Linked DNA regions of Ovis aries. The protein of the gene in region 1 interacts with the protein of each later gene in a pairwise test. Links are inferred from orthologs where the notes say so. Each region holds a gene or a part of one and is shown on either strand. Other genes may lie near its edges.

The links.
Region 2: the proteins of UBE2L6 (region 1) and ARIH2 interact in binary tests that used the Homo sapiens proteins (3 or more experiments, as listed by UniProt). The link is inferred for Ovis aries from reciprocal best matches to the Homo sapiens genes UBE2L6 and ARIH2.
Region 3: the proteins of UBE2L6 (region 1) and DTX3 interact in binary tests that used the Homo sapiens proteins (3 or more experiments, as listed by UniProt). The link is inferred for Ovis aries from reciprocal best matches to the Homo sapiens genes UBE2L6 and DTX3.
Region 4: the proteins of UBE2L6 (region 1) and RNF144B interact in binary tests that used the Homo sapiens proteins (3 or more experiments, as listed by UniProt). The link is inferred for Ovis aries from reciprocal best matches to the Homo sapiens genes UBE2L6 and RNF144B.

Annotation. Positions count from the first base shown.
Region 1 is NC_056068.1:79,631,930-79,638,784, reverse strand, and holds part of UBE2L6 (ubiquitin/ISG15-conjugating enzyme E2 L6), read left to right. Parts: intron 1-1,249; coding exon 1,250-1,345; intron 1,346-1,775; coding exon of another isoform or gene 1,776-1,813; exon of another isoform or gene 1,814-2,250; intron 2,251-4,603; coding exon 4,604-4,790; intron 4,791-6,855. UniProt on the Homo sapiens protein: Catalyzes the covalent attachment of ubiquitin or ISG15 to other proteins. Functions in the E6/E6-AP-induced ubiquitination of p53/TP53. Promotes ubiquitination and subsequent proteasomal degradation of FLT3.
Region 2 is NC_056072.1:51,056,479-51,063,333, reverse strand, and holds part of ARIH2 (E3 ubiquitin-protein ligase ARIH2), read left to right. Parts: intron 1-4,163; coding exon 4,164-4,231; intron 4,232-4,730; coding exon 4,731-4,794; intron 4,795-5,974; coding exon 5,975-6,125; intron 6,126-6,855.
Region 3 is NC_056056.1:162,058,491-162,065,987, reverse strand, and holds the start of DTX3 (probable E3 ubiquitin-protein ligase DTX3), read left to right. Parts: upstream 1-3,048; 5' UTR 3,049-3,083; intron 3,084-4,448; 5' UTR 4,449-4,510; intron 4,511-4,693; 5' UTR 4,694-4,739; coding exon of another isoform or gene 4,740-4,767; coding exon 4,768-4,768; intron 4,769-5,105; coding exon 5,106-5,854; intron 5,855-5,927; coding exon of another isoform or gene 5,928-6,042; exon of another isoform or gene 6,043-6,770; coding exon 6,771-7,163; 3' UTR 7,164-7,325; coding exon of another isoform or gene 7,326-7,401; 3' UTR 7,402-7,497. UniProt on the Homo sapiens protein: Regulator of Notch signaling, a signaling pathway involved in cell-cell communications that regulates a broad spectrum of cell-fate determinations.
Region 4 is NC_056073.1:38,532,255-38,539,870, reverse strand, and holds the start of RNF144B (E3 ubiquitin-protein ligase RNF144B), read left to right. Parts: upstream 1-3,122; 5' UTR 3,123-5,483; coding exon 5,484-5,486; intron 5,487-7,616.

The DNA.
Region 1 (6,855 bases):
TTTATGGCCCAGGATGACCCATCTGGTGCCAGGATCATGTCAGAAGGCATGCTGCGGGTGAGGGGCCTGGTGCTGCTCTGAGGTTTGAGACATCTCCTGTCCCCAGTTAGCAGCCTGCTGATAGTATATGACGTGCTGCTAAAGGCTAGCAGGGTGGCACTCTTTCTGCCGTCTTCTGATGTCTATGTCAGAAGCTTTCTCTATCTCTTTATGCTTTAATAAAACTTCATGACACAAAAGCTCTGCGCGATCAAGCCTCGTCACAGGCCCGGGATTGAACTCGTCTCCTCCAGAGGCCAAGAATCCCGGCGTCTTTCACGACTAAGCGACCACTGTTTCCTTTCCCCTCCTATGATGTGTCCACACTTTATTCACAGAATCACAGCGTCTTCCTTCCACCACTCCAGTGAAGCTCTCGAGGGGCCCGTGCCCTAGTGGCGGGTCCGTGGAAGACGCTGTTGGGAGAGCTCAGTGGTGCTCAGGGGACGGGCCGCCTTCCTGGGCAGGCGAGTCGTTGCTCGTCCTCTGGTTTCCCTGCTCGGCGTGTGGCATTCTCCTCGGGTGCGGTCTGCCTGAGCGGTGCCCCTCCCCAGGCCTGCTCTGGGGCAGTCTGACAGGGGCAGGCTGACGTCTCTGCTGCCCCCGCCCTGCCCCGGGCACGGTGAGGGCGCGTCGCCATCCTGCTCACCAGTGGGTAGAGGGAGGCAGGGCGGCGTGGCTCCCTAGGAGGAGAACCAGAGGACAGACGTGAAGCGCCTCGGTTTCTGCAGGAAAGGCTCCTCAGAGAGCTGCGTTGCTGGTATTTAGTCGCTCAGTCGTGTCTGACTCTTTGCGACCCCGTGGGCTGTATCCTGCCAGGCTCCTCTGTCCACGAGATTCTCCGGGCAAGAATAGTGGAGCGGGTGGCCATTTCTTTCTCCAGAGGACCTTTCCCACCCAGGGATCGAACAGGTGTCCCTTGCATTCCAAGGCCGATTCTTTACCACTGAGCCCCAAGAGGTTTACTCCCAGGTTACAGTATCTAGACCTGGTGATGTGCATCATCCTCCACCTGGTACCTACAGAGCTGGAGTGAAGCTAAAGACCGGGCAGTTCACTTAAGGCCCTGAGCACCGGGCCGGACACACAGTGCGCAGTGAATGCCGGCTTCTGTCCTGCCTGGAACTGGGGACGGTCTGCTGTGGGGCGGGGGGGGCGGGGTGCCGGAGGAGGGGAGGCTCGGCCAGCTGCCCGCTCTGTGCCCCTGCAGGAGCTGGAAGACCTGCAGAAGCAGCTTCCCAAGTACCTGCGGCACCTGTGCAGCGAGGAGGACAACGTGCTGGTGTGGCACGCGCTGCTGCTGCCTGTGAGTGTCTGCGGGGCCTGCTGGGACTGGACCACTTAGGGCCGGGGCTGGGGCCGCGAGGGCTGGACCGGGCAAGGACTTTCCTGCCTGAGAGTCCTTTCTTCTTAGTTTTGGCTGCACCGGGACTTCGCTGCTGCACGCGGGCGCTCTCTAGCTGCGGCGACTGGGCCCCAATCTCTAGTTGGGTGCCGAGGCTTCTCACTGGGGTGGCTTCTCTCGCTTCGGAGCACGGGCTCACTAACCAGCACACTGCCTTAGCTGCCCCACAGCATGTGGGGTCTTCCCGGGCCAGCGAGGAACCCGTGTGCCCTGCCCTGGCGGGTGGAGTCCTAGCCACTAGCCCATCAGGGAAGTCATAGAACCCTTTTTTCACTGGAGATAATCGTTGGCAGAGGTGTCTCTGTCTACATTGATTGCTTCTGACGTCCAGGCCAACTGATGCAGAGGCTAAAAGGCCTTTGGGCTTAGTCGGAGACCCCTTCTTCAAGCCAGTAGCTACCGAGCCTGTCATGGAAGCTTCGGCAGACAAAGAGCATCAAAAACAACAACAAAAGGCTTCCTTGTTGACTAAGTGGTAAAGAATCCGCCTGCCAGTGCGGGAGACATGGGTTCAATCCCCGACCCGGGAAGATCCCACACACCCGGAGCAACCAAGCGTTGAGCCTGTGGTCTAGAGCCTGGGCCCACAGTGCCGGAGCCCACCTGCCACGACTGCTGAAGCCCTAGAGCCCCCCCTTTGCTGAGGCCTCACCCCTGGTCTTGGGTCTGTGCCCCAGCCCCAGCCTCTGCACGGTATCGAGAACACATGTTCTTTATCTGCCCAGCATTTGCTCGGACACACCCATGACTGCCACAGCTCCCTTTCTGCCTTCTGCTCAGGAAGAGGGAATTTCTTAAAACCTTCACTCCGAACTTCCGTATGTCATTCTTTTTTCAAAGGCTTATTTATTTGGCTGCGCCGGGTCTTAGTTGCGGCCTGTGGGATCCGGCTCCCTGACCAGGGGTCGAACGTGGGCCCCCTGCACTGGGACCACGGAGTCTTAGCCTCCAGGCCGCCGGGGAAGTCCCACGTATGTCGTCCTGACGGTCATTCTCCTGCCTTCTCTGCCACGAAGGTTCTGAAAGGGTTTGGAGCTTTCGCAGCAGCCTGGAGGCCCCTGTGTGCTGTGCTGGGCTCATCCGAGCCCTGGGGTCCCCCCCACTAGGGGTGTGGGTTACTGCTCCCGTGTGGAACAGTCCAGTCGACCGTGCTGAGTCCCCATCGGGCACTGTTGCTGTGACCCTGGGCAGGTCACTTGTGTATGCTGAACTTGTTTCTTCTGGAAATCCTGATGCTAATACTATGAGTTCTCAAAGTACGTACCCTAAGAGCTGACACATAAGGAGTGCTTGCCATGTGCCTGGCCATATTCTAGATCCCTGACGTGAATTAGCACAGGACTTCTCTGGGGGCCCGGTGGCCAAGACCCTGTGCTCCTCAGCGCAGGGCACCTGGGTTCCATCCCTGGTCAGGGAACTAGATTCCGCATGTTGCAACTAAGACTCAGTGCAGCCAAATACATAAATAAATAGTAAAAAAAAAATAAAATAAAATAAGCTGGTGCACTCTTCACTACCTTAGAAGAAAAGTGAATCGACTCATTTAATTGTCGGGCAAGCCCTGTGGAGGAGGTTGTGACTCTCTGTAAGGAGAGCACAGAGATGTTCGGCAGCTCGCCTAAGGTCGCACAGGCATGGGGTTGACAGAGCGACGGCTCACACTCCAGCCGCGTGGCCTGAAGCCCACGTAACCCCTACACCCTGCTGCATGGGCTAATGCGTGTCAAGCCCTTAGCAGCAGGCAGCACAGAACGGGTGCAGGAAAGCCTTCCAGTTGCTAAAGATCCAGTGGACGGAGGAGCCTGGAAGGCTGCCGGTCCATGGGGTCGCTAAGAGTCGGACGTGACTGGGCGACTTCACTTTCACTTTCACTTCCATGCATTGGAGAAGGAAATGGAAACCCACTCCAGTGTTCTTGCCTGGAGAATCCCAGGGACGAGGGAGCCTGGTGGGCTGCCGTCTCTGGGGTCGCACAGAGTCGGACACGACTGAAGCGACTTAGCAGCAGCGGCAGCAGCAGAGGGTCTTCTGCTGGCTCCTGGCAACGCTTAGGCACTCCGGTTCCGAATTGTTGTTTTAAGGTGGTAAAATACCCGTAATAGTATGCACTGCCTAAGCTCTGCTGGGTCTCTGTCGCTGCAGAGGCTTTCCCCTAGTCGCAGTGAGCGCCGGCTACTCTCGGTTTGTGCAGCACGGCTCTAGGGCGAGACGGCTTCGGGATATGCACTCCCGGGCTCTAGGGCACAGACCCAGTGCTTGTGGCGCCCGGGCTTAGCTGACTTCCCTGGTGGCTCAGACAGTAAAGCGTCTGCCTGCAATTCGGGAGACCCAGGTTCGATCCCTGGGTCAGGAAGATCCTCTGGAGAAGGAAATGGCAACCCACTCGAGTATGCTTGCCCCGGAAATCCCATGGATGGAGGAGCCTGGTGGGCTACAGTTCATGGGATCACACAGTCAGAGACGACTGAGCAACTTCACTTTCATGGACTTAGTTGCTCTGGGACATATGGGATTTTTCTGGACCAGGGATCGAACCCATGTCTGCAGGCGGATTCCTAACCACTGGGCCACCAGACAAGTCCTAGAAAAATGGTCAAGAAAGTAAATCCTAAAAACTCTCACCCCGAGGAGAAATTTTTTTTTCCTTATTCTTTCTCTTCGTTTTTTTATATGAGAAGATGGGTGTCAGCTGAACCTATTGTGGTAATTCTTTCACAGCATATGTGAATCTAACCATCAAGCTCGACGCCTTAAGCTTAGTGATGTGTATCAGTTATTTTTCAATAAAACTGGAAAGATGTTAATTACTGATATAATAAAAAGAAGCTAAGGTGGTCCTGAGGATGTCTCCAGTCAAACTGCACCCATTTCTCAAGGGAGGAAGCTGAGGCTTAGGGGTGGGAGGCAGCTGGCCCTCGGGCACACAGCAGAAGCCAGGATCTGACTCGTGGGAGTGCCAGGCCAGGGGGCTCTGACGCACAGTCCAGTTGCTACGTGGGTGCACGTGCCGTCTGTGTCTGCATTCACGGTCCTTCCTCGGAGTGGAGCAGAGGAAGCCTGGGACGCTGGGGCGGGGCGGGGAGGGGGAGCCAGGCCCAGGTCCTGGGGGAGGAGGGCAGCGGTGCCTCTGCCCAGAGCATGACTCCTTCTCTCGCACAGGAGAGGCCACCCTACAACCTCAAGGCCTTCAGGCTGTGCATCAGCTTCCCGAGGGAGTACCCGTTCCAGCCCCCCACGGTGAAATTCACCACCAGGATCTACCACCCCAACGTGGACAGGGACGGGAGGGTGTGCCTGCCCCTCATCAACAAGAAGAACTGGAAAGCCAGCACCAAGACCTGCCAAGGTGGGCTGGGTCCCGCCAGGACAGGGCCCCAGACCGAGTCGGGGCGGGGGTCACGGGGCCACTTTCGTGTCGGTGGCTCCTGTTTACTGCCGTTCAGTCACTAAGTTACGCCGGACTTTGTGACCCCAGGGACAGTAGCCCCCAGGCTCCTCTGTCCGCGGAGTTTCCCAGGCAAGAAACTACCAGGGCTTCACTGGGGGCTCAGATGGTAAAGAGTCTGCCCGCAGCGCAGGAGACCCAGGTCTGATCCCTGGGTCAGGAAGATCCCCTGGAGAAGGGAATGGCCGCCCACTCCACGATCCCTGCTTGGAAAATTCCATGTACAGAAGAGCCTGTACAGTCCATGGGGCTGCAAAGAGTCAGACGTGAGCGAGTGACTGAATTCGCTGAATTCGCTTGTTTAACTCAATGAAACTAAGCCATGCCGTGTGAGGCCACCCAAGACGGGCAGGTCATGGTGGAGAGGTCTGATAGAATGTGGGCCACTGGAGAAGGGAATGGCAAACCACTTCAGTATTCTTGCCTTGAGAACCCCATGAACAGTATGAAAAGGCAAAAAGATAGGGCACTGAAAGAGGAACGTCCCAGGTGGGGAGGTGCCCAGCATGCAACTGGAGGTCAGTGGGGAAATAACTCCGGAAAGAACGAAGGGCCAGAGCCAAAGCAGAAACAGTCCGCAGCTGCGGATGGGACTGGTGGTGGACGCAAGGTCCGGTGCTGTAAGCACAGCCGAAGGGCGGGCCTAGCGATGACGTGCGTCGCTTCAGCAGGCACTCTGACACTGCGCTGAAAGCTTCACACGGTGTCTTTTTAGTTCACTTTTTTTTTTAACTGAAGTATGGTTAATTTTGAGGGAAGGAAATGGCTATCCACTCCTGTATTCTTGCCTGGAAAACGCCATGGACAGAGGAGCCCGGCAGGCTAATATAGTCCATGGGGTTGCAAAGAGTCGGACACGACTGAGCGACTTCACTTTACTTTTACGGTTCATTTACAATGTCGTGTTGGTTTATGGCACACAGCAAAGTGATCCGGGGATCCACGTGAATATGCGTTCCTTCCACACTCTTTCCCACTGCGTCTATCACAGGTGCTGAGTGGTTTCCCAGGCGACACAGCAGGGCCTTGCTGACTGTCTTTGCGTGCAGCAGTTCGTATCTGCTCACCTCTAGCTCCTGGTGTCGCCCTCCTCTCCTGCTTCCCCTGGGTCTGTGAGTGTTTCTGCTTTGTACGTGAGTTCACGTGTATCTTTTTACGATTCCACATGTAAGGGATATCATACGGTATCTGTCCTTCTCTGCCTGACTTCCTTCGCTTGATACGGTGATCTCCAGGTCCATCCGTACGTTGCTGCAGATGGCGTCCTTTCACTGTGGTTTGCGGCTGAGTACTGTTTCCCGGTGCGTGTCTACCGCGTCTTCTTTACCCGCTTGTCTGTCGGTGGGCATTTAGGTCGCACTCATGTCCTGTCTGTTGTAAGCAGTGCTGCTGCGGACGTTGGGGTGTGCGTAGCTTTTTGAGTTAGCGTTTTCTCTGGGTATATGCTCGGGTGCGATTGGTGGATCGTGCGGCAACTCTACTTTTATTTTTTTAAGGAACCTCCTACTGGTCTCCATAGTGGCTTCACCAATTTACATATCCCACCAACAAAGTAGGAGGGTTTTCTCTTCCACCCACCCTCTCCAGCATAAAAAGTCACTTTTTTCTTCCAGATGGTATTTTTGGTGTACATCCATGGATGACAAATTGGAATTATACTGGATTAATCATAATTCAGGAATACAAAAATGGAGCTGATGGCCCTTGAGGACTTGGTCTCACATACGTCCCTGCACCACTGAGAACCTGAACTTTCTAACCCAGGGCAATCAGCCATTTTTAACACATCAGCCTCATTCAGTCCCCCAGAAGCCCCTTGAAATAGTGCTCTCATCGGCCCCATCAGGACACGGGCCTGTGAAAGCTGAGCTCTTACCTGAGCTGGCAGACGGCAGAGCTGGGATTCGAGGCCTCGCTTGGCCGGCTCTGAACCGCGCGGCTCAGCAGAACTTTCTTCAGTGATGGA
Region 2 (6,855 bases), on another chromosome or scaffold:
TTTTTAAAGATCTCTCCCAAACACAAATTACGGAGAATGACAGAAGTTTGCCTGCAACCTCTGGGAAATAGTGATGTCCAATGGCCAAGTCCTTTCTGACATTCACGTAGCCAAGTGCTTCCTGAAATAAAGATCTGAAAACCATCTGAGGGTGTTGAGACTGAAAATGTCATCCAAGCCAAGCCAGATTGGATGGGCAATGCAGAGCAGAGTCCAGGCTGGATGATGACAGAGGTGACCCCACGGTCCTTTCAAGCTTCACAGGATGCTCTCCAGGGCCTTCTGACCCATCGTGGGTCAGGTTTGAAGGCACAGGGAATGACAGGGAAAGGCAAGGAAGATGGGCTACACTTGACCGTGTTCTGACTCCATCTTTGACTCTGAAAGCCTTCTCTGGACCACCCAGGGACTTCAGGACCCTGCAGTGTTTGATGAACTGTGTACCACTACTTTCCCTCCCTCCCTCGAGGCCTTGGTGTGGGAGGTTTAGAGGGAGCCGGAGTGTTGTGAAGTTACTAGCATTACAGGCCTGCTTATACTAAAATTCACATTGTCTAGTCAGTTAATCTTTGGTCAGAACTATGTATGTTCAAAACTCTGAGGGGGATGTTTTCATTCTCAGGAGTACATAAAAGATCAAAATGAACTATTTTGAGGCAGTGGTGTAAGGGTCAACTCTCTGTTTCTTGTGACATTTGTTTATTCAGAAGATTGCCATTGAATTAAAGCTGGCAAACTTTCCCTCCAACTTCATGAAAAATTTAAAATATACAAAGACTTTTAAAGAATTGTGCAGTAGGTATCCATTTATCTACCGTCTAAATTATACAGGTGCTAACTTTTTCCTGCATTTACTTTATCATGTGTCTGTCCATCGATCAATTTTATTTTTAGCATTTATTGAAGTATTACTTACATTCCATTAAACTCATCCATTTTAGAGTGTACCAGTAGAAGAGTTGCAGTAAATGTGAACAAATGTACAGCCATCGCCACAATCCAAGTTACAGAACATTTTCATCAGCCAAAACGTTCCCTTATATCCATTTGTAGTTAGTCCCCAATCCCAGTCCCAAGAAACTACTGACCATCTTACTGTCTGCATAGATTTGCCTTTTCTAGAAATTTCATGTGACTTTAATCTTATAGTATGTAGTCTTTTGTGTCTGGCTTCTTTCACTTGGCATGTTTTCAAGGTTCATCCATGCTGTATCACATGTCAGTAATGCTTTCCTCTTACTGCCCAGTGAGGATTTTCCATTTTATGGATATATACCACATTTTGTTTTTTCATTCATTCATCAGTTGATGAACATTTGGGTTGATTCCAGGTCTTGGCTCTTATGAAATATGCTGCTGTGATGGTTTGTATAACAGGGTTTTGCATGGACATGTTTTCATTTCACTTGGATAAATATCTAGCAGTGGGATCGCATGTAACATTTTAAGAAACTGCCAAACTGTTTTCTGAGGAGACTCTGCTATCTTACATTCCCACCAGCATTATATAAGTGTTATAGGTTCTCCACTTGCTTGCCAGCACTTAGGTATTGTCAGTCTTCTGTATCATTCTAGTGAGTGTGAAGTAGTATCTTATAGTTCTAATTTGCAATGGCAATCCACTCCAGTACTATTGCCTGGAAAATCCCATGGACAGAGGAGCCTGGTAGGCTACAGTCCATGGGGTCGCCAAGAGTCGGACATGACTGAGCGACTTCGCTTTCTTTCTAATGACTAATAATGTTGAGCTTTTTGAGTTATGTGAGTTCTTTATATGTTCTGAATTAAGTCCTTTATCAGATATATGATTTGCAATTATTTTTTCTGTTGCAAATCATATATTTTGTGGCTCGTCTTTTCTTAATAATGTCTTTTGAAGAATGAAATTTAATTTTGATGAGCTCCAGTATATCATATTTTTTCTTTTAAGGATTGTGCTTTCAGTGTCATAGCTAAGAAATCTGTACCTAAAAAAACAAGATTGCAAAGATTTTCTTCAGAAAGTTTTATAGTTTTCAGTTTCATTTAACACTGTGAACTGTCTTGAGGAAATGTTTGTGTGACATGAACTAAGCTTTTAAGTTCTGAGTTTTGTATAGTGATGTTCAGTTATTCTGGAACCATTTGTTGATAAAAGACTGTTTTATCATCTGTTGAATTACATTGGTACCTTAGTAGAAAATTAATCATAAGTGTATGAGTTTACTATTCTGTTACATTGATCTATAGATATGTCTGTCCTTAAGCCAGTACCCCACTGTCTGGATTACTGTAGCTTTATAGTAAGTCTTGAAGTCAGATGGTGTAAGTCTTTTCCAACTTTGCTCTTTCACGGTTGCTTTGGATATTCAGGGTCCTCTCCATACATTTTAGGATCAGCTACTAATTTATACCCTAACCCCTGCTTTGATTTTGATTAATTTTGATTGCTGTGTTCTGTCTAGCTGCATTGTCCATTCTGGTAGCTGCAATCACATGTAGCCACTGGGCATTGTGGCCAGTTTGGATTGGTATGTTCTATAATTCTGAATACAATGGACTTTGAACAATTAGATGGAAAAAAAAGATGTAAAATGTAGTTCATTAATAATTTTCAGTGCGTTAACATGTTGAAATATTTTAATATATTGGGTTAAATAAAATATATTTATCAATACAGTTTAGTTTTATCAATAAATTTTAATTTTTATTTGCTGCTATGTAGAAACACATTTGTGATTTATATATATTGGCTTTTTGCTCAGAGGGCCCTTTGTATCCTGACTTCCCTGTAGGTCTTCCTTGGTGTCCATTACTGGGCAGAGTGCCATCATTCTATATTTTGCTTTAATTAATGGTCTTAAAATTCCTTCACATTCATAATGGATTAATTGGGGGAGACTGAGGCCTTGGCAGTCTGTGATACACTGAGGCCACGCTATGGGCACTCACAGTGCCTCCGGTAGAAGGCTGGTGGGAGGTGCGTGTGCCTGTAGTGTTGTATGTATTGATAATCCTCAGCAGTTGGCTTTGAAAGAATAGATGGACATCTGTTCACTTTTATGAAGCACTAGACACATCACTGACTCGATGGACATGATTTTGAGTAAGCTCCAGAAGTTGGTGATGGACAGGGAAGCCTGGTGTGCTACAGTCCATGGGGTCACAAAGAGTCGGGCACAACTGAGCGACGGAACTGAACTGAGACACATCCTCTCTTCACATTATCCATTCTCACCAGAACTCTGCTGGAATATTCTGAGTTGGTCATTAGTGGACTTGTAGTCATCAGTAAAATTTTCAGTTTCAGCGGAGGCCTGTGTCGTTTTCCATACATGGAGGGGCTGATGCTAATTCTGAGGCTTTGTTGCTGTTGCTAGTGCTGTTGAGATCAAGGGATCAGACCAGGTATGGTGCTGAAGTTCTATTTTTTTGGGAAGGTCAAGAAATTTCATTTTGGGAATTCCCTGGTAGTCCATTGGTTAGGACCCCACTCTTCCACTGCAGGGAAGTAAGCTCCCACAAGCGGCGCACTGCAGCCAAAAATAAATAATAAAACAATATAATTTTCAGGTTGTAAAAATATAGTTGTAGCCAAAAGCTGTTCTCAAGCAAATTTTAACATTTATACCAAATACTTTGTCTCTGTTTTCATTCTGTGATAGTAGTCTTTGTGGATGAATAGTTTTGTTATAGAGGCAGAGGTTTTAACCAGGGGTGTTTTTTGTTTGTTTTGTTTTGTTTTTCTGGGTTTATATAAGAAGTTCAAGCCTGGAGAGCTTCTGCAAGTAACATGCCTACCTGGAGGTGCTCGTGTATGGCCTCCTACAGCAGCTTCAGCAAACATAAATCACATCAGGGAACTTACAGCTCATTTGCTTACTTTGGATTCTAGGTCCTTATTTACTGTAGATAGGATGGTTTTGTGTAAGTTTGAAATGAAACTAATTTCTTTGAAGGGTTGCTAATGAAAATAAAGGTTGAAAAATCGAGAGATCCAGGAAATTGCTTAAGACTCTAAGAGTCTGAACGTAAAAGATAAAACAGAACCAAGAGGAAGATTTTAAAATTCAAGCCTGGACCTGCAGTATAGAGAAATGTATGCATTTCTCAAAATGTAAGAGCACTCTGAAAAAAACAACCCAACTGCATTATAATTTTATTTCTTTTTTTCTTCTTTCTAGGTGTCTCATTCAGTTGCTAAACTTATATTAGTTAATTTCCACTGGCAAGTTGCCGAGATACTGGACAGGTAAGGTGTTTTGGGGGAGGAAGAGATGGCGTTGTCTGTAACTTCTCTCTGCCTGCACACCCAGTGGTAATAATTGTCTGTGTTATGGAGAATATCCTTACAGTGTGCAGAGTATATTTTTTAAACACTGGGTCATATTGTATAGCCTTTTTTCTCTCAGTATATGGTGAACATTTTCCAATGTTTTCAGCATATTCTTTCTGTACCCCCAGTTTTAATGAAGGTACAGTATTTTACCATATTGATGTTCCATCGTATTCCAAACCCCTGTTGTTGGACAGTGAAGTTAGGTCAGAGTTTTTATGCCATCATTAATGTTAAATCAGTGCCCTTCTAGATAACACTTGGCAATATCTCCAGGTATTTCTTTCAGACACATCAAGTGGAATAAATACATCATGACATAGTGCTTATTACCTTCAGAGAGAAAGGTCAGCTCATTTACCACCATATCTCCAGAACCAAAGCTCTGATTCCCTTTATGCTTTTTGCTTTGTAGATACAAGTCTAATTCTGCCCAGCTGCTCGTTGAGGCTCGAGTTCAGCCCAATCCATCAAAACATGTGAGTGTCCCTTCCTGATACACGTGGCTCTTGCTATGGCTCACACGGTTATTGAGAACCATCTTATTTTGTTTATAGTGCAGCATCCCCAAGATGCTTGTTCCAGTATAGGCCTAAATCTTCCATTTCCGACATCATTTGGACATTTTCCTCATAGACGAGGAGTGAATGGCTGCCTGCCCTCTCCAGCCTCACCCGTCTCCTGCACTTATATATAGCCTATGCTCTGTCCTTGCTGTGTTCTTGGGGTGCCCGTTCACTGCATGCCTCTTTAACTCTGCTGCTGCCTTCCTTGGCTGGGATTGTCCAGATCCTGTACCCATCTTTGCTCATGAGAATGGAACTCACCTTTAAAGACCCAAATCCAAGCCATGTCTCCCAAAACCTGTCTCCTGGGAACACTTCCCTCCAAACTCTTTTAATTATATGTTTCAACCTTTACATGTATATTGCAGTGATTCACTCATATCTTTTTAGCTCCCATAGTAGACTAAGTGCTTTTTAAGTTTAGGAATCATATCCTACAGTGTATAGCGATTTCCTGTTGTTGAGAGTTCAGTCAGCATTTGTCAAATGAATGGGGGAGAATTAGGGCTCAGATCACCACATAACTTATGCAGCCTCTTAGAGAATTTCCAGAAGCATACTAGACAGAGTATGGTCCTTTTCCTCAAATTATTTTTTGTATGGCCAGTGAACTAACAAGAACCTCATGTTGGGCTTTCACTGGTTTGTGGCTTTGGCTGGTGCCCCCAGACTGTCTTTGTGAGTTTATGTAGCAGAGAATGGGTTCTGGAGCTATTAGAGGCTCACACTTCAGCCCCTAAGAACCTATTGGCTGGGTTTATAGTACTTGTTGAGAAGCAACTCTGGCCATGCTGAATGAGGGCAGTTTTCAAAAGAAACCTAGTAGCCTCCAAAAGAAGGCAGATTGAATGACCTCTGAAATCCTGGTCTTTCCAGCCTGACCTTATAAACTACTGTGAGATCTCATTTCCATCTTCTCTCTCCCTCTCTAAATCTAAGGGTTCACCAAGCCTGGCTCCACTACCACCTCCTTTGGGAAGCCTTCCTGATATTATATTTTTCCACTCAGAACTGGCACTCACAAAGCCCACACATGGCAGTGGAGTTCTGATCCTTCTTGCAGGCTGGCTCACGTCACTGTACCTCCCTCCAGGTGCCCCCAGCCCACTCCCCTCACCACTGCGCAGTGTGTATGCAGTTTGTGCGGAAGGAAAACCTCCTCTCTCTGGCCTGCCAGCACCAGTTCTGCCGCAGCTGCTGGGAGCAGCACTGCTCCGTGCTCGTCAAGGACGGCGTGGGTGTGGGTGAGTCCCCGTGGGGCTCATAAGCGGCTGGCAGGAACTGTTCAGCTTCAGCCCTGCCCTTTCTGCCACTCAGGTGTTCTTGTGAACCTAACTGAAGTTTTCAAAATCAGAACCATTGGTTTCCAAACATGTCAGTCTGAACAATGGCAAGGTTTACCCTAGTCCTGAGCAAGATGCAAGAGTTAAGGCTAATGTTTGGGCATTTATGTAACTGCTGGTGTGACGGCAAGGCTACCTTCTCTTGCTTTTTGGGAGAACTGTCCTTTAAGCTGCCTACCTTGTCTATCTTGATTCTCAAAGTGGCAGCCATACTTCAGAAACTCCTAGAGGGTTTACTGTGATTTAGGTAAGCACAAATCAGACTTGGTGATGAGTTAAAGGAGTCTTTGTTAAATTATGACTTCATGATATTAAAATTAGCATTATATTAATTATATCTGTAAAAGCTCACTGTGTTGATGGTAATCACATGCACATAATAGTAAACATCACAAAGCTAAATTGTAAGTCAAGAACCCTCTGGGATTTTTTAAGCAGTTTTTTTTAATCGGTGCTATTTGTGATATATACTATTTAATTGCTCTTGTTTTTGTTGTTTGGTTGGTTTTGGGTTTTGTGGGTTTTTTTTTTTTTTTTTTTTTCTTTTTGTTGTGCTGTGTAACTTACAGGATCTTAGTTCCCTGACCCAGGGCTCTGGTAGTTAGAGTGCCAAGTCTTGACCATTGGACCA
Region 3 (7,497 bases), on another chromosome or scaffold:
GGCTCTTCCTGGCCCTCAGAAATACCGATTCATTGTTTTCCCTCCCCTTCCTTCCCTTCTCTCCCTTCCCTCTTTCCCTTCCCCACCAAATTGCTTGCTTCATTAGAGTGTTTACTGTTGACTCTCTCCCAAGTGCCTTGATCTTTGTAAAATGTCCTGTTGTTTCCATAACAGAGGAGGAGCTGGGGGAAGGGGGTTGTTGGCCATCTTCAAGACCTGACTGGACAGATGGACCTGGCTCAAGCAACTTACTCTGGATGCACTTTGCTGTGTGGGATGAGCTAAGAGTATCTGAATTTTGCTGATAACTTTATAGAACTCGTTGTGGCATGCTTCCTTCCCAATAGGCCCTGGGATGGAAGATTTTCAAGACACTACAGATGTGGGTGCCAGCATGCACACATACACTGGGATATGGCCAGTCTTACCCAGGTGGGGTGGAGAGTGGTTGGTGGGCTGGCAGCTTGCAGAGGTGGGACCTATGAGGACTCCTGTGATTATTTAGGGAATTGGAGGTCTCTGTTGAGGGGGACTACTCTGATCTCTTCCCTCACTCCACCTACCCCCACTAGAGATGGCCATAGTGTTGAATCTTGGGTGAAGCTGTTTGACTGCTGCTGCTCTTCACCAGGACCTCACATCCCTCCTAGGGCCAGAACCCTTCCGTGGGGGTGTGGTCAGTTCTGGAGGCTGGACAGATGAGCCAAGGGTGTAAGGTTCACTCCCTGTGTTAAATTTCCTTTCTTCATGTCTAGCCTTCCCGGAGGTTTTAGTCCCAGCAGAAGGGAATACCTCTACTTGGGTTAACCCTCATCATCTCTAGAGAATGGAAGTCTCACATGGGGATGCCTCCTCCACTCCTCGGAAGTATGCCCCTAGCATACTTCCTCCCCTGCCCCTTCTCAAACCTTTTCCCAGTTGGAGTTGTTATTCTGTTCTTTTCTGTCCATCTTAACTGCTACTGTGTCTCTCAGGGGACAGATGGCCCTCTTTGTCATCTTCACTCTCCACCCCCAGAGAGGAGTCAGAGCCATAACTCAGTCACCCAGCCCCCTCCAAAGAGAGTTGAGCTGATGCATGATATTCTCAGAATGCAATGGACCCTGATGAGCTGGGATAGTTCCCTTCCCCGCAATGCCTTTGGGCCTCAGGCAGCCATTCATCTTGTGATTCTGCATCTCCCCTGAGGCTTCTGCATTTCTCTGGAACACAAAGATGGGGCACCAGCAAGTGGCCTCTAGGAATACAAAGACTCTCAGCTCTGTATCTGCCTGGACTGATCTGTCTCATAAGAAGTCATGAGGTCATAAAGGAGAATTCTTCCTGCCCCTCCGTCTTCTCCAAAGGAAGTAACAAGAGGAGTCCCCGGTTGAGGATTGGAGCCCCTATAAAATTTTCCTGTCAGGAGCCTCATGGGTCTTTTTCATTCCACCGTCTACCTTTCCCTTGTTGAATGCAATAAAACTCCATGACACCAGCAACTTTGTTTAGAACTGGGTTTTCTGACCCATTTCTGGCTGATGTATCATAAGCATTATGGTTTTCATTTGTTGCTTCTGTTTTTCATCTTTTTTGTTTTATTAATAAAAAGATCTCGTGTATTTACTCCCATTGCTGTCACTATAAGGAAAATAAATTATTGAATTCAAATTTCTTCACAGAAATTCTTTTTCTCCCCCACTCCTCTTTTTTGGAAGCCTGGGCTTAGGGGTGCAGTGACATGTAAAGAACTGATCTTTAAGGTGTTGGGTCCCTAAGGACGTGGGTTTCAAGATAGATGGCTGTGAGCTTAAAAGGTGGCCAGGAGTGTGCATGGGAATGGAAGACATTCCCCAGTTTTGCGGGAGTCAGGTACAGGGGGGTCAGGGACAATTGAGGTGACGTGACCCCCCTCCACCCCTTTCCCCAGGGTTCTGGGCTAGATCACACATCTCTAAAGGTGAGCGAGTCTTAACAGCACCAAGCACACGTGAGCTAAAGCAGAAGGAATCCAGTATTTCCCCAGGCTTCCTGGGAAAGATGTCCTTTGTGTGGAGGACAGAAAGAGTACATCAGGATCCTGGGAAAGTAAAGAAGGAAGTGACCAGCCATCCAGCCTGGAGAGGGAGTGAAGAAAGTGGGTGGATCAGCAGAGGTTGTTGCCAGTGTGAGAAATCTATCCAGTACTGTTTGGCCAAGGAGGTCTTCTGACCGTTGGAAAAACCTGGCTTGATGTGGCCCCAGGGAAGTGAGTTGGACTGGGTGCGGAGACTGCTGGCTCTGATGTGGGAAGCATAAGAGGGTCGGTCCCTACCCCCAGCCCTCCCTCCTCGATTTGTGAGTTTTTAACTATTTCAACTATAGACTTGATACCATCACTCCAAGGCATTTTTTTTGGATAGAATGTATTCACTTATTCTGCACCAGCCTCAGTGTAAAGAGAAAAATCAGAGATCAATACCCAGCTGAGAGCAGGTTTGACAGAAGGTAACAATCTAGGAAAAGGCAAGCAATAAAGAAGGGAAACGTCTTAGTCCTGGATTTATTTTTTAGAACCAATGCTTTTTACTATGACTCTTCTTCCTACCTCCTATTCCTCAAAGGCCTTTCTAGAAAAAGGATCACAGAGAAATTGCCCCCTCTTCCCCACCTACCTAAACCAACATTCCTCACCCACCCATCTGCCACCAGCTTCCAGAAGCTGCCACGCAGCTGGCTGGCAAAGAACAGGGAGAGAGGGCCCCTCTCCGGAGGGGAAAGCGAGAAGGGTAGCGTCTCTAAGGGATTTACCCTCCTACCCTGGGCTCCACGACACCACCCCCGCCTCCAAAGATTGGGACGGCGCCTCCATTTCTGTTTTGGGGCGGAAGGCAGGGGCTTGTGGATGGAAGGGGGTCAAAGGAAACGGTGATTATCACCTGGGAGGGGGAAGGGGGAGCCATCCTCCTTCATTCCCTTTTCCTCAGTCTGCACCCCCTGCAAACTCTCCCCCCCCCACACCTTCTCGGGGTCTCCCCCCACCCCCGCCCTTGTTGCTAAGGCCCAGACCGTCATCCCAGCAACAGCCTCAGTCATGTGACCGGCAATGGCGGCGCTGACGAGAGGTAGGTGAGCCCGGCGCCCCCCACACCCACCGCGCGCCCCCCGGACCCTTCTCGCACCCCCCGCGCGCCCTCCCGCTTCCCCTGCGCCCGGTCCTCGGTCTCCTTCTCCTGCGCGCGACCCCGGGGGTCCGGGCCCGGCCCCGCCGATCCTCCGTCTGTTACCCTCCAGCCTTGGCCTCCATTTGGGGGTTCTGGGGCCCGCTATCCGGCCGACATGCATCCCCACCCAGTGGTGGGGCTGCCGGGGCTTTGCCGAGCCTGGGATGCGGGGAGTTGGTTCCGGGTCGCGTCTGGCAGGAGGTCGTGGGGGGGAGGGGTGGAGATGCCTCCGTGATGCCCCCAGGGACCCTGGCCCTTCCTGGCTGCCCCTGTCCGCCGGCCCCTCTCGAGCGGGAGGGACTGGCCCCGTGTCCGGCCTGGGCTGCCCCAGAGGAGTCGGACCCAGCAAAAACTGTGGCCCCGCCTCCCATTTCTGTGCCAGCAGGACTCGGAGCAAAGGACACCTAGGTCCTGGCTTCACTCTGATGGGGAGGGGGTGTTCCACCTGGATGGACCGAAAGAGCCGAGGCTCTAGGGTTCCGATTTCGCTTTATGAATCTTGAGGTGCATCTGGCCTTGAGGGGACTGGGAAGGAGGCACAAACGGAGAGCTGCTCCCTTTTGGATCAGTCAAGGAATTGAGGTCACACTAATGGCCCTTCTTTCTATTTGGGCCGCATTTGGAGGTGTTGTAGGGATAGCTCTGTAGCTGAACACAGCAAGACTGGGGCAGGGAGGGGGTGGTGGTGGTGGAGAATATCAGGGTGCTCCAGCGGATCCCCTGTGTGAGCTCCACCCCTCCTGAAATGCAGCCTAGGTTGCTGGCAGGCCTGGATTTTGTGTGCTGGGTTTAAAAGGTGACAGCGAGAACTTCGTTATTACAGGGGCTTCTGCCACTTGGTCCGCATTCCAAACAGACTCCAGCAGAAGGGACTGGGTTAACACTCAAGGAAGGCACCCTAGCACTAGGAGCTGAATTATTGGCAAAATGTGGAGCAGGGCGAGAAGCTGGGGAGCAAAGGAGATATTCTTGTCCTTGTGATCTGAGGGAGGTGGCAAAACAGACCTCTCTGTGTGTGGGCTTTTCCCTTCCAGACTTCTCTAATCTGTGTCCCTAGGTTTCTTAAGAGCCCAGAGCTGAGGAAGAGGAAAGTTAGCATGTTGAAGTTCCTTCTTTAGGAACTTGGCCAGAGGCTGAGGATGAAATTCTGCAAAAGACAGGGAGAGGAAATGGAGGAGTTTTTGTTTGCTTCTGGGCTGACTGGGGGAAAGGGTAATATTTGTCATCCTAACCCCTCCTCCCTCCCTCCCCCCCTCCCTCCCCTAGTCCTGGTCAGCTGAATGTGGAAACAGAGGGAATTCTGCTGTCACCGTCCATGGGCTTTCCAGGTATCTGCCTTTCATGGAAACTTCAACTTTCACCCTTAAATTGGTTTCCTTCATTCCATGTTCCTAGTAATCCCATTCCCAGGAGATTTACCCCCAGGTTCTGTCTGTCTTGTGGGCTGCTGGGTGGGGGCATGTGGAAATGGGAGAAGGGGTTTTCCACTCCTTTTCCTTTCCACCCACCAGGTCACACAACCTACAAGTAGGGAGTGGGGACAGAGCGCGCGCCTGCATGCCAATTCTAAGCTCTTCAGGATCAAAGTGAGCAAAAAGGAGGGTTGAAATCTCCTTTCCTTTTACAGAACCCAGTCCAGAGTTGGGGAGGGCCAGGATGCTTCTGTGCTCTAGGGAGGAGTGTAGAACCAAGACTGATGCTTACCTTAGATGATAATAAAGTTAGAGCAGCTTTCTTGCTCTTCAGAGGGTGCTGGAGTTTGAAAGATGGGAGGAACTAGAACGTGAACTTGGGGGAGGAGATGGGGGTTGGGCTCTGAGAGAGTAGAGGTAATATAGACCGGAAAGGAATGGGAAGTAGGAGGCACTGATATCTGTGAAATGGGGACCCCCCCACCCTGAGTCCCTTTTACCCTGGGGGCAGTGTCGTTCGTCCTGTCCAGAATGGCAGCCTGTGGAGGCAATTGCAAGAACAAAGTGACTGTCTCCAAGCCTGTGTGGGACTTCCTGAGCAAGGAGACCCCTGCCCGGCTGGCCCGGCTTCGGGAGGAGCACCACGTGTCCATTCTCATAGACGGCGAGACTTCTGACATCTATGTTCTCCAGCTTTCCCCTCAGGGCCCTCCCCCAGCTCCTCCCAATGGGCTCTATCTGGCCAGGAAGGCTCTCAAGGGGCTGCTCAAGGAGGCAGAGAAAGAGCTCAAGAAAGCTCAGAGGCAGGGGGAGCTTATGGGCTGCCTGGCTTTGGGGGGTGGAGGGGAGCACCCTGAGCTGCACCGCCCAGGCCCACCCCCTCTCCGAGCAGCCCCACTTCTGCCCCCAGGGGCCCGGGGGCTTCCCCCACCTCCTCCTCCGCTACCCCCTCCTCTTCCTCCCCGCCTTCGAGAAGAGACAGAAGAGCAGGAGAGCACCTGCCCCATCTGTCTGGGAGAGATCCAGAATGCCAAGACGTTGGAGAAGTGCCGGCACTCGTTCTGCGAGGGCTGCATTACCCGGGCCCTGCAGGTGAAGAAGGCCTGCCCCATGTGTGGCCGTTTCTATGGGCAGCTGGTGGGCAACCAGCCCCAGAACGGGCGGATGCTGGTCTCTAAGGATGCCACACTCCTACTACCCAGCTATGAGAAGTACGGCACCATCGTCATCCAGTACGTCTTCCCGCCCGGTGTCCAGGGGGTAAGAAGACTGTGGCTGCCCTTACCCTTTGGTTTCCCCAGGCTCCTTGTTCTCTGATTGTTCTCTGATTTAGGAAAACTGGGTGCGAGGGGAGTATGGTTGTTAGATGTGATATAGTCGTGCTGTCTCCTGGGATGCCTTCCCGCTCAGCTCAGTGCCCTGGAGCAAGAGGCCCCCTTGAAGCCTAGCTTTTCCATCCCCACGACCCCAAGGCACCCATGAAAATCAGGTATGAAAGAAAGGAATCGAATTCTGTTTCCTTGATGAACTTGGATGTTGACAGCTATTGTCAGCAGAGGTGAAGCCTGTGAGGATGGCGGCTCAGGTGCAGACCAGCACAGTGGGAAAAGTCAGACCTCCCCTCAACAGTGCTGGGAGTGTTAACTCCATTTCAGATTTATGAGACAGAAAATTTTGTTGACAGTCAAAGGTTAAAACAGTAGTGGTCAAGAGCCTACAGGTGTCTTTTCCTGCTTGACAAAGAGTAATGTCCAGTTCTGGTTTGCAGAAAGATGAGGGAGCTCTGAAGGAGAGAAATTCAAAAATGGAACAGGTTAGACAGTGGAAAATGCACTGGGAGTACTTTCAGGTGGAGAAGGGAAAGCTGAAAAATAAATGATTCTGTCTTCACATTTCTGCTGAGTTATCTGGAGAGTAAGGCCCAGCTTACCTCCCGTCAGTTTCAAGAATCGTTTGTTGTTTGCGGGATTGGGAGAGCAGAAAGAACCTCTGAATGATGAGAATTTTGTCTGGAAACAGGCTTCTGGTGCCCAGACCCTAGAGCTGGTCCTTCCGTGGAAGGCTGTCACTGCCCCAGCAGCATTAGCTGGGAGTGCACAGCCAGAAGGCTGGCCACCACGACCCTCCATGGGCCTTAAGATGCACAGCTGCTCATTCTGCCTCCCCATTCCCCCAGGCTGAACACCCAAACCCAGGAGTTCGGTATCCTGGCACTACTCGGGTGGCCTACCTCCCGGACTGCCCCGAGGGCAACAAGGTGCTGACCCTGTTCCGCAAGGCGTTTGACCAGCGTCTCACCTTCACTATTGGCACCTCCATGACCACAGGGAGACCGAATGTCATCACTTGGAACGACATCCACCACAAGACCAGCTGCACAGGGGGACCACAGCTGTGCGACATTCCTTCTTCCCTTCTCTTGGCTCTACCCCTTCTCCCCATTTCAACGGAGGGAACCCCTTCTCTTTGGGAGCCTCCTCACTGGAGAGGACCACCCCCAAACTATTCAACCGTCTTGTCCATCCCAGTGTCTCCTATAATCATCCTGGTCCTGATGTGCCTAGCTTAACCTACAAATATCAGCAGAATTGGGCTCAGTTATCTTGGGTTTGGATAACCTTAAGGAAGGTGGGGAGGGGCTAGAGTGGGGCACCAGAATGAGGGTGAGAATGGGGGTAATGTGAGTAAGCCTGAGGGGCTAACCTTGACCCTCATATCTCTTTGCTCCCAGGTTTGGGTACCCGGACCCCACCTACCTGACCCGGGTGCAGGAGGAGCTGAGAGCCAAGGGCATCACAGATGACTGAAGGACAGCCCCTTCGGGAAGCCCCTGCTGTTCTCCAGTAGGACCCAACGGAAGCCTCTGTTCTCTCTCCCTCTGCCCCCCTCACCACTCCAGTAGG
Region 4 (7,616 bases), on another chromosome or scaffold:
CCCATCTGCCACTTGCAGCAGCAGATAGCATGATTATTGCTTAACCCGTGTTTTCATTCATATTAGCAGCAGCTTCATCCATTATCCTGTTGACAAGAGATTATAGCTTAATTGCATGGAAAAAGTGGACTGTGTGTTGAACTTTGGTTTAAGGCACCAAAGTTTTGTACTGGCATTGATGAATAAAGTAACCTCTTAAAGGGTGTTTTGTTTATCTTTCCTGATTCCTGCCCATCAATAATGTTCACTACACCAAGAAAATACCTTGACATTGATTATCTCAGAACCTATGTTAGGCGGATCTGAAAGAGTTTTGATTACTATAACTTTGTAATATAGTTTGAAATCAGGAGATGTGATTTCCTCCAGCTTAGCTCTTTCACAAAATTGCTTTGGCTATCTGGGGTCTGCTAAAGCATTTACACTGGTAAATGCTAAATTTTAAGTTAGACACCTGTGGGGCAGTTTTCATTAACAAATACCTTTTTCATCTAACACAGATTTAGGTCTCATTCCAGCTCTGCCCATACCTGGTTGAAGTCGACCACTTAAATCTCCCTGGACATTAGTTTCCTCATCTTTAAAGCTAAATGCCTGGACTAAACTAGTTAGGACTTTTCAAGCTCAAATATCCTTCAGTTCTATTTTTTGGGACCCTGTTGTATGTTCTCTTACCATCTTATCTCCCTTGTCCTCCTTCCCTTCCTTCCCCCCTAGAAGATTGGTCCTCCTCCTAACTGAGCACACACACATACCCCTACAAGTAATAGTACTTGAAAATAATTTCCAACAATATTGGTCATAACCTGTCATTTAGAACTCTGATAATGGTTTAAGTGGAAGTCCATGAAAAGAGATGTTTATCAACCTCGAAAACCTATTTTTATTAAAAAAAAATGTGCTTTTGTGAAACTAGCTTTTTCAAATGAATTATCCTTTAAATCTAAAGTTTTCTATTACATACTGTACTGTACTGGGTTGAATAGTATCCCCTAAAATTCTTACCATTACCTAAGAATGTGACTTTGTTTGAAAATAGGGTCTTGTAATCAAATGAAGATGAGGTCATACTGGATTACGACAGGCCCTAGATCCCATAACCAGTGTCTTTATAGGAAAAAATATAGGAGAGATGTGGACAAAGAGACATGCAAGGGAAAAAGCCATGTGATGATGGAGGCATCGGTTAACTGATGCAGCCACAAGCTTAAGAAGACCAAAGACTGCTAGCAACCATCAGAGGCTAGGAGAAAGCACAGAGGTTTTCCCTCACAGCCACCAGAAGCAACCAATCCTGCTGACACCCTGACTTTGGACTTCTGGGCTCAAGAACTGTAGGAGAATGATTTTCCGTCGTTTTCAGTCACTCGAACAAAAACAAAACTGGTCCTCCTGTCTGTCCTGCCATCATACACAGAGATACACTGTGTTCTTCCGCACTTGGCTTTGACCTCAAGGTTTTCTTCAACATGGAGAGAGCCCAGAGGCAGTTCGCTTGTGTCCTTTGGCACCGTGCCGACTGCTGATCCTTCACTGGCAGGCTCAGTATTCCTTCCACAAAGGGCTGCGAGTCCCTTCCTTTTAGGAAGCACATTCCGACTGTGGTTGCAAAAGTCGAGTGAGGGTGCCGAGTGAGCACAGAAAGGTTCCCGCGTCTGGGGAGGGACATTTCTAAACTGCGACGCTGGAAGTTCGACAGAGTTGGGACTGTGATGGTGACCCCTGGGGGTGTGGGGAGTGAGTCGGTAGGTAACCTGTTAAAGACGTCGCACAAACTAAGTGTCTGAGGTTTTGGAGTGAAGAAGACCTCATAAGACCTCCCCCCCCCCCCCCACCACCCCCGCAGCTTCTGGATTACTCTGTTACATTGCCTTTAGCTGGAGTACTTACCTGTTAGGTTACTAAGCAGTCCCTACGTAATTTGTTGGCAAAGCACTTCCGGCAAAATCAGTTTTTTCCCTAAAAGTGTGCCTGTGTTATAGGAGGTCCATGAAGACTGTCCTGATTTGATTTGCCTGCGTTCTAATTTTATCATTAGATTCTAAAGGACAAATCAGGTACACGATGTTTTTAGATGAGACGTGCATGGGGACTGGCTCTACAGAAGCAAGTGTTCCGAAAGGGTGGGAAGGAGGGCTGGGAGGGAAGGGAAAGACAGGTGTCCCGGGAGGACGCGTGCAGAGGAGAAGCAGCAAGTTCTGAAGCCAGTTAGGTGAAGAAGTGTCCCGGTCTGGGAGGAAGGAAGGATACCAGGGGCTGATGATGCTGGCTGTCTGCAGCGGGCGTCCCAGGAGGACGAGAGGTCTTGTTAAGCGGAGCGAGCGCAGGAGGGCCGGACTGCTGGGGCGCGCGGGCCGCCGGGTTCAGACAGGGTTAAGACCATCACCTGCAGCTGAAGTGCGACCCAGATGGGGAAGTAGGAAGTGCGCGCTTGAGCTTCCTGTATAAATAAACGCACGGCTCCTGTCGCTGCTGCTGCTGCTGGCGGTGCTGCGTCCCGCGCTCTGCGAGGTTTCCCGGGCAGCGCAGCTGCGCCCCGAGGCAGGAGGCGGTTCGAGGGACTCCTCCTCCCTCTCCGGCCGGATCGGTCTGGGAGCCCGAGCCCTGTTGCAATCCTGCAGAGCGCAAAGCTGTCAGCCGCAGAGCAGGGCGGAAGACGGAGGGCATGGAACAGCCGTTCCTCCCCGGGGTGCGAGCGGCCCCGGCTGGTGGAGTGCGCGAGGCAGGCTGCTGAGAAGCCCGGCGGCGGCCGGGAGGAACGGAGCTCTCCGGCCAGGTAGGTTTAGGCAGCTTTTTAAGTGCTGCAGGCATTGCAAGACAGCGGTGGGGTTGGACTAAGAAAAGAAAAAGGGACGGGAGACTCACTCGGATATCTGGGTTGTTTAGCTTTATTTTCTGCCTCTCGTGCTGAAACCGTGCGGAATCGGATTCATTCTGAACGCCTGAAACACCTGTGAACTTTACAAAAATAGCTCTCCGTTTACAGGCAAAAAGGAAGGAGCTTAATTTATTGTAAAACTAGTCTCTGCAGAATGTATTGTAAAATTCAAGATTAGAGCAGACCTCCCAGTGTCTTCAGCTGGAGACCAGAGTAGGCAGAATCTCGGATACTTATCTTCTGCTGTTTGGGAATGCATGCCAGTAGGTTGACATACCTACATATGGATAAGATGTTATCCGTGGGATCTTGGTCATACATTCTGCTGATTATTTTGTTGTGTAATTGCGGGTAAAACAGGGTGAAACTTTGATCTTCCACTGCTGTTCTCAAGCTGAAGTTAAAATGAAACTGATCCCTCTATCAGTGGAGAAAAGATATCTTTAGCTGACCCCTTCCAGGGTACCTTTTGTTTTTCTTACAAGGAGTTTCAGAGATTCTGTTGTCAGTCTACTCTTGAATGTACTTCTCACATTTAGATTTCTCAGAAATGATTTCCCCTTTCTGGCAATATGTTCTCTCTTCATGCTTGCACAACAGTCTCACTTTTTTCATACTTTCTGTTGCATGTATCATATCAAAATATTAGCTGAGGCTGGCAGTAAGGCTAGCAGTGTTCTTCTGATTTGGCATTTCTGGAGGTTTATTTGAATGTTGCCAGGTATGAATTAAAGAACAATGTATCTAACATTTCTGAAGCAGCCAATTGGGGGTGTCTAGGCCCCGAAGCAAAATAAATGAACCTTGCCATGACTCAGTTTTTAGGGCGCGGATAAAGAGGCAAAAGGAACCCAAGCCAGTCTTCAGTGAGTTGCTGGCTAAAGTATCGGACTACTGCAGCTTTCACTGAGATGAGCCTCTTGGCCCCCAGTCCCTTTTACATCTAACCCCTCTGTTGGTCCCTCCTTCTCCTTCCTCTGTCCTCCCTTTTTAGCCCGAGTCCTTTTCATGGGTAGCAGTCCCTTAGGTATTTCTGAAGATATCTTGAGCAGGAGAGAGAAGGAGAAAAAAAAATATCTATAGCCATCCACAAGGCCACGTGGAGAGAATTGTATTAGGAAATCCAAGGCCACGTTTTCATAAAACTCCTGCCTTCCTTTTGCATGCCTGTGACTGGGATTTTATTCTTTGTGATGGGCATAAAGTTAGAAAAGTGGGAAAGAAAATAAATTGTTCCAAAAGGAGCCTCTGACTAATTGGAACTGTCTTGATGAGTAAACAAATTCAAGGTATAGAAAGTGTAAAAAGATGTCCTGTAGCAGAATTGAATTGCTGGGCTTTTATAAATTTAAAACAAACAGAAAAAAAAAAAAGTCCCTCAACCAACCCCCTCCCTGCCTCCCCCCAAACCAATCACCCCAGATAACTTGCTTCTACAGTACTGTGCTGGACATGAGGTTTGAGTGTGGTCAAACACTGTCCATTTACCCAGAGTTTTACAAATATTTACAATCATCTATGCCAAATATCTTTGTGCTGAGCCCCAAAGAACATTCTCAGCATTCAAAAGCCCCATTCTCATGAATGGTTTCAGTTCATTGGCAATTTAAAGGCATCCAGGCTTCCAAACTAGGTCAGCTTAAGAGATGTCTTTTTTTAAACATAATAATTAGTTTTTGGGTCTTCCAGATTATGATCCAGGTTTTCAGAGCCAAACCCTGCAGCAGAGAGGAAAGTATCCTCTATCAGGAAGAAAAAAAGCTTATTTTAGCTGTATAGTAAGACCATCAACGTTTCTGCAAGCTGTCTTTTGTCTTCCGTAATACAAATACTTTTAATCTGATAAATTTATATTTATATTTAAATTTTCCTTTTTGAGACCCGTGTTCGATCCCTGGGTCAGGAAGATCCCCTGGAGAAGGGAATGGCAACTCATTCCAGTATAATTGCCCGGGGAATTCCATGGACAGAGAAGCCTGGTGGGCTACAGTCTACGGGGTCACAAAGAGTCAGACCCCACTGAGCCACTAACACACTTCCAGGAACATTGTTAAGGACACCAGACTCATTCCTCTGTACTGTGTCTTTTACTAGTCTCGGCTTCTGCCTGTCTCCTGGATTGACTTATGATTCTACTTTCTTGTTGAGTGAAGTTCTTAGTGTTTGGAATCTCTAGTTTGAGGTAGAGGTCAGGAGTCATGCGGAACCCAGATGTTGCTAGAGGAACAAAGTCCAGACAGTTTGGGGACTAAACCTACTTTGTGCAGCTGATTGCTTTGGAGATGGGAACTAGGTCAAGCTGAGCTTGGGGAGTGGGTATCGGTAGCCACTGCTCCTGAGTACTGAGACTCTTTTTCAGGGATGCCTGTCTTGGCTTACTGAAGCACCTTTGATACAACAGATTGTCAGTATTTTTCAGCTTTTGAATTGCTGGAAGTGACTACAGATGAGAATCAGGCTCTGAATATATTCTCTCCTCCACGTACATTAGATAAGTTATCTTCTGTGGTGTTGAGGGACTGGAGGCTGAGGACATAAAGACGCATATGATGTAGCCTCTGTCCTGAAGGAATTTGCATAGGCTTGGGAGTGACTTTGGACCAGAATGGTAATTTTTAATTCATGTTGTTTTACCTGAGAGTGAAAAATACTTTGAATTTTGTCATCTCAATTATGTCTTTTCTTTTTGATGTTTCCCTGATGTCACCTGAGTGTTAAGTAATTTGAAGAGGCATAGGCCCACCTAAGTTAATTTATTTAATTATTTTAAGTTTTAATTTGTTTTGTCACCTTTAGGCCTCTGTGGGAGGTCTTGTACTAATGTTTTGTTTCTGTTATCATTGGAAATTATTATTTACTTGGTCTATGAGTACTTCTAAACCTAATGTATTGTGCTACAGTAGTTATTAAAAAATGGGAAGGTGTAAAAGAGAGTGAAAGTGGTTAATACTTTTGCAGCATGAAGTGAGAAAATTCTCATCCGTGACTGAATCCCTTCCTGAGATTGAAAGCACAATGGTCTAAGTAAAATACACTTCTCTTATTCATAGCTGGGGATATTTCTAATTGTATGGCTTGTGGTGTCAAAGAACATGCTTCGAAAGCTGTGTCTCATTGGTTTCTCATTCCTCTGCAATCACGAGTTTGCGTCTCAGACCTTCAGTCAGCTCATTCTTTGTTTTTCTTGGGAAGGTAGAACAAGACCATCTCATTTCTTTTTTTGTTGGACTTGTGGCTGAAGCTGTAAACCCTGAGGATGCTTATATGAAACTTTCTGATGACAACCTTCTCAACTAGTTTACTGTTAATAAGTGGGGACTGTGTTTAATGACCTTTACATCCACATTCCATGTGTGGAATTCGATTCTTTGTGGGTTGACCTTATTTCCTGCACTTTGTATTTTCCTGTATTTTATTCCTTGAGAAATTGATTTGGCAGAGACGTACAAAAATACATATCCCTGCACCTCACTTAGTGTGAGATGGAAGAGTTCTTTCCCCAAACTGGTTTTAAATTTGTATCTATAAAATGTCTCTATAAAACTTTTAAGTTTCATAGGAGAGGGTAATATTTATACAAACTTTTATGCATTTGAAGAAAACATTTTGGTTTAGATATTCATTCTTTAGTAACTGGAGTTTCCTGGTAATGTCATGACCCAGGAAATCAGCCGGTCTCTTGCTCCATGGGGCTTTCTGAAATAACACTTCTCCTTGATCTGTTAATTACATCACTGTCTGACCTGCCTGTAAGTGGCATTCCTTCCTGCTTCTGAGCTTTGTTGTTATACCAAACAGGGGGAAGAAAATTATTCAGCAGGGCTGTGTGAATAATTGTGGGAGGCCAGGGAACCACTGATTAAAAAAGAGGTGGGCAGGGCACAGTGGTGGGGTTGGGGAGGGACCTGTGATGATGAATGTAAAATTACAATGTTAAAAATGTCATTGAGTTGTTATTCTCATCTTCACTTCTACCTTCTTTGAAAGTTTTGTTAGGAAATCTGGGAATGGATTCCCGCCTCTTGGGCCTTACCTTATAGTGGTGATGAGAACAGAGAAAGAAGGCAAGAAAAAAATAAATTTGCTTTTCAGAAGGGTAGGCATTTTGCAGATGTTAAAACTTGACCTCCCAGATGTCCTGTACTCCATAAGGTTCAGAGTAAGCTTATCACAATATCATGTACTTTGTTGGTCATCACTTATATCTCTTTCCATATAGTTTTCCTATATATCATGCATGTAGCAAAATGTAAAAATTAGGTCTGATTACTGTCACCTTAAAAAAATGGTAACTGAGGTAATGGAAGTGTTAACCAGCTTTCCTGTGGTAATCATCTTGCGAAAGATATCTATAGCAGATCATTGGGTTTTATACCTTAAAGTTACACAATTTTTTTCTTAATGATATCTCAATACAGTTAGGAAAATAGATCTTATTAAAATAATGTACCTCATTTGTTACATAATTTCAGATAGCAAAGAGACTACATAGAAAACAGTTTTTGATAATATTTAAGGTTTCCTTCCTAAGGATGTATCTGTCCTTTTCATCCACAAAAAAATGAGTAGAGATATATTTGTATATCAGTTCCATTTTTAGAGAAAAATCAGGTCTCCAAGTTCGAGTTATCATCTTATTACCATCCTGGAACTGGTTGAGATGAAGATGTTAAAACTGAAGCATTTTAAACTGAATATTTTTTCTTGATTTCCCCTGAAGGATGCTGTGAAATGGTAG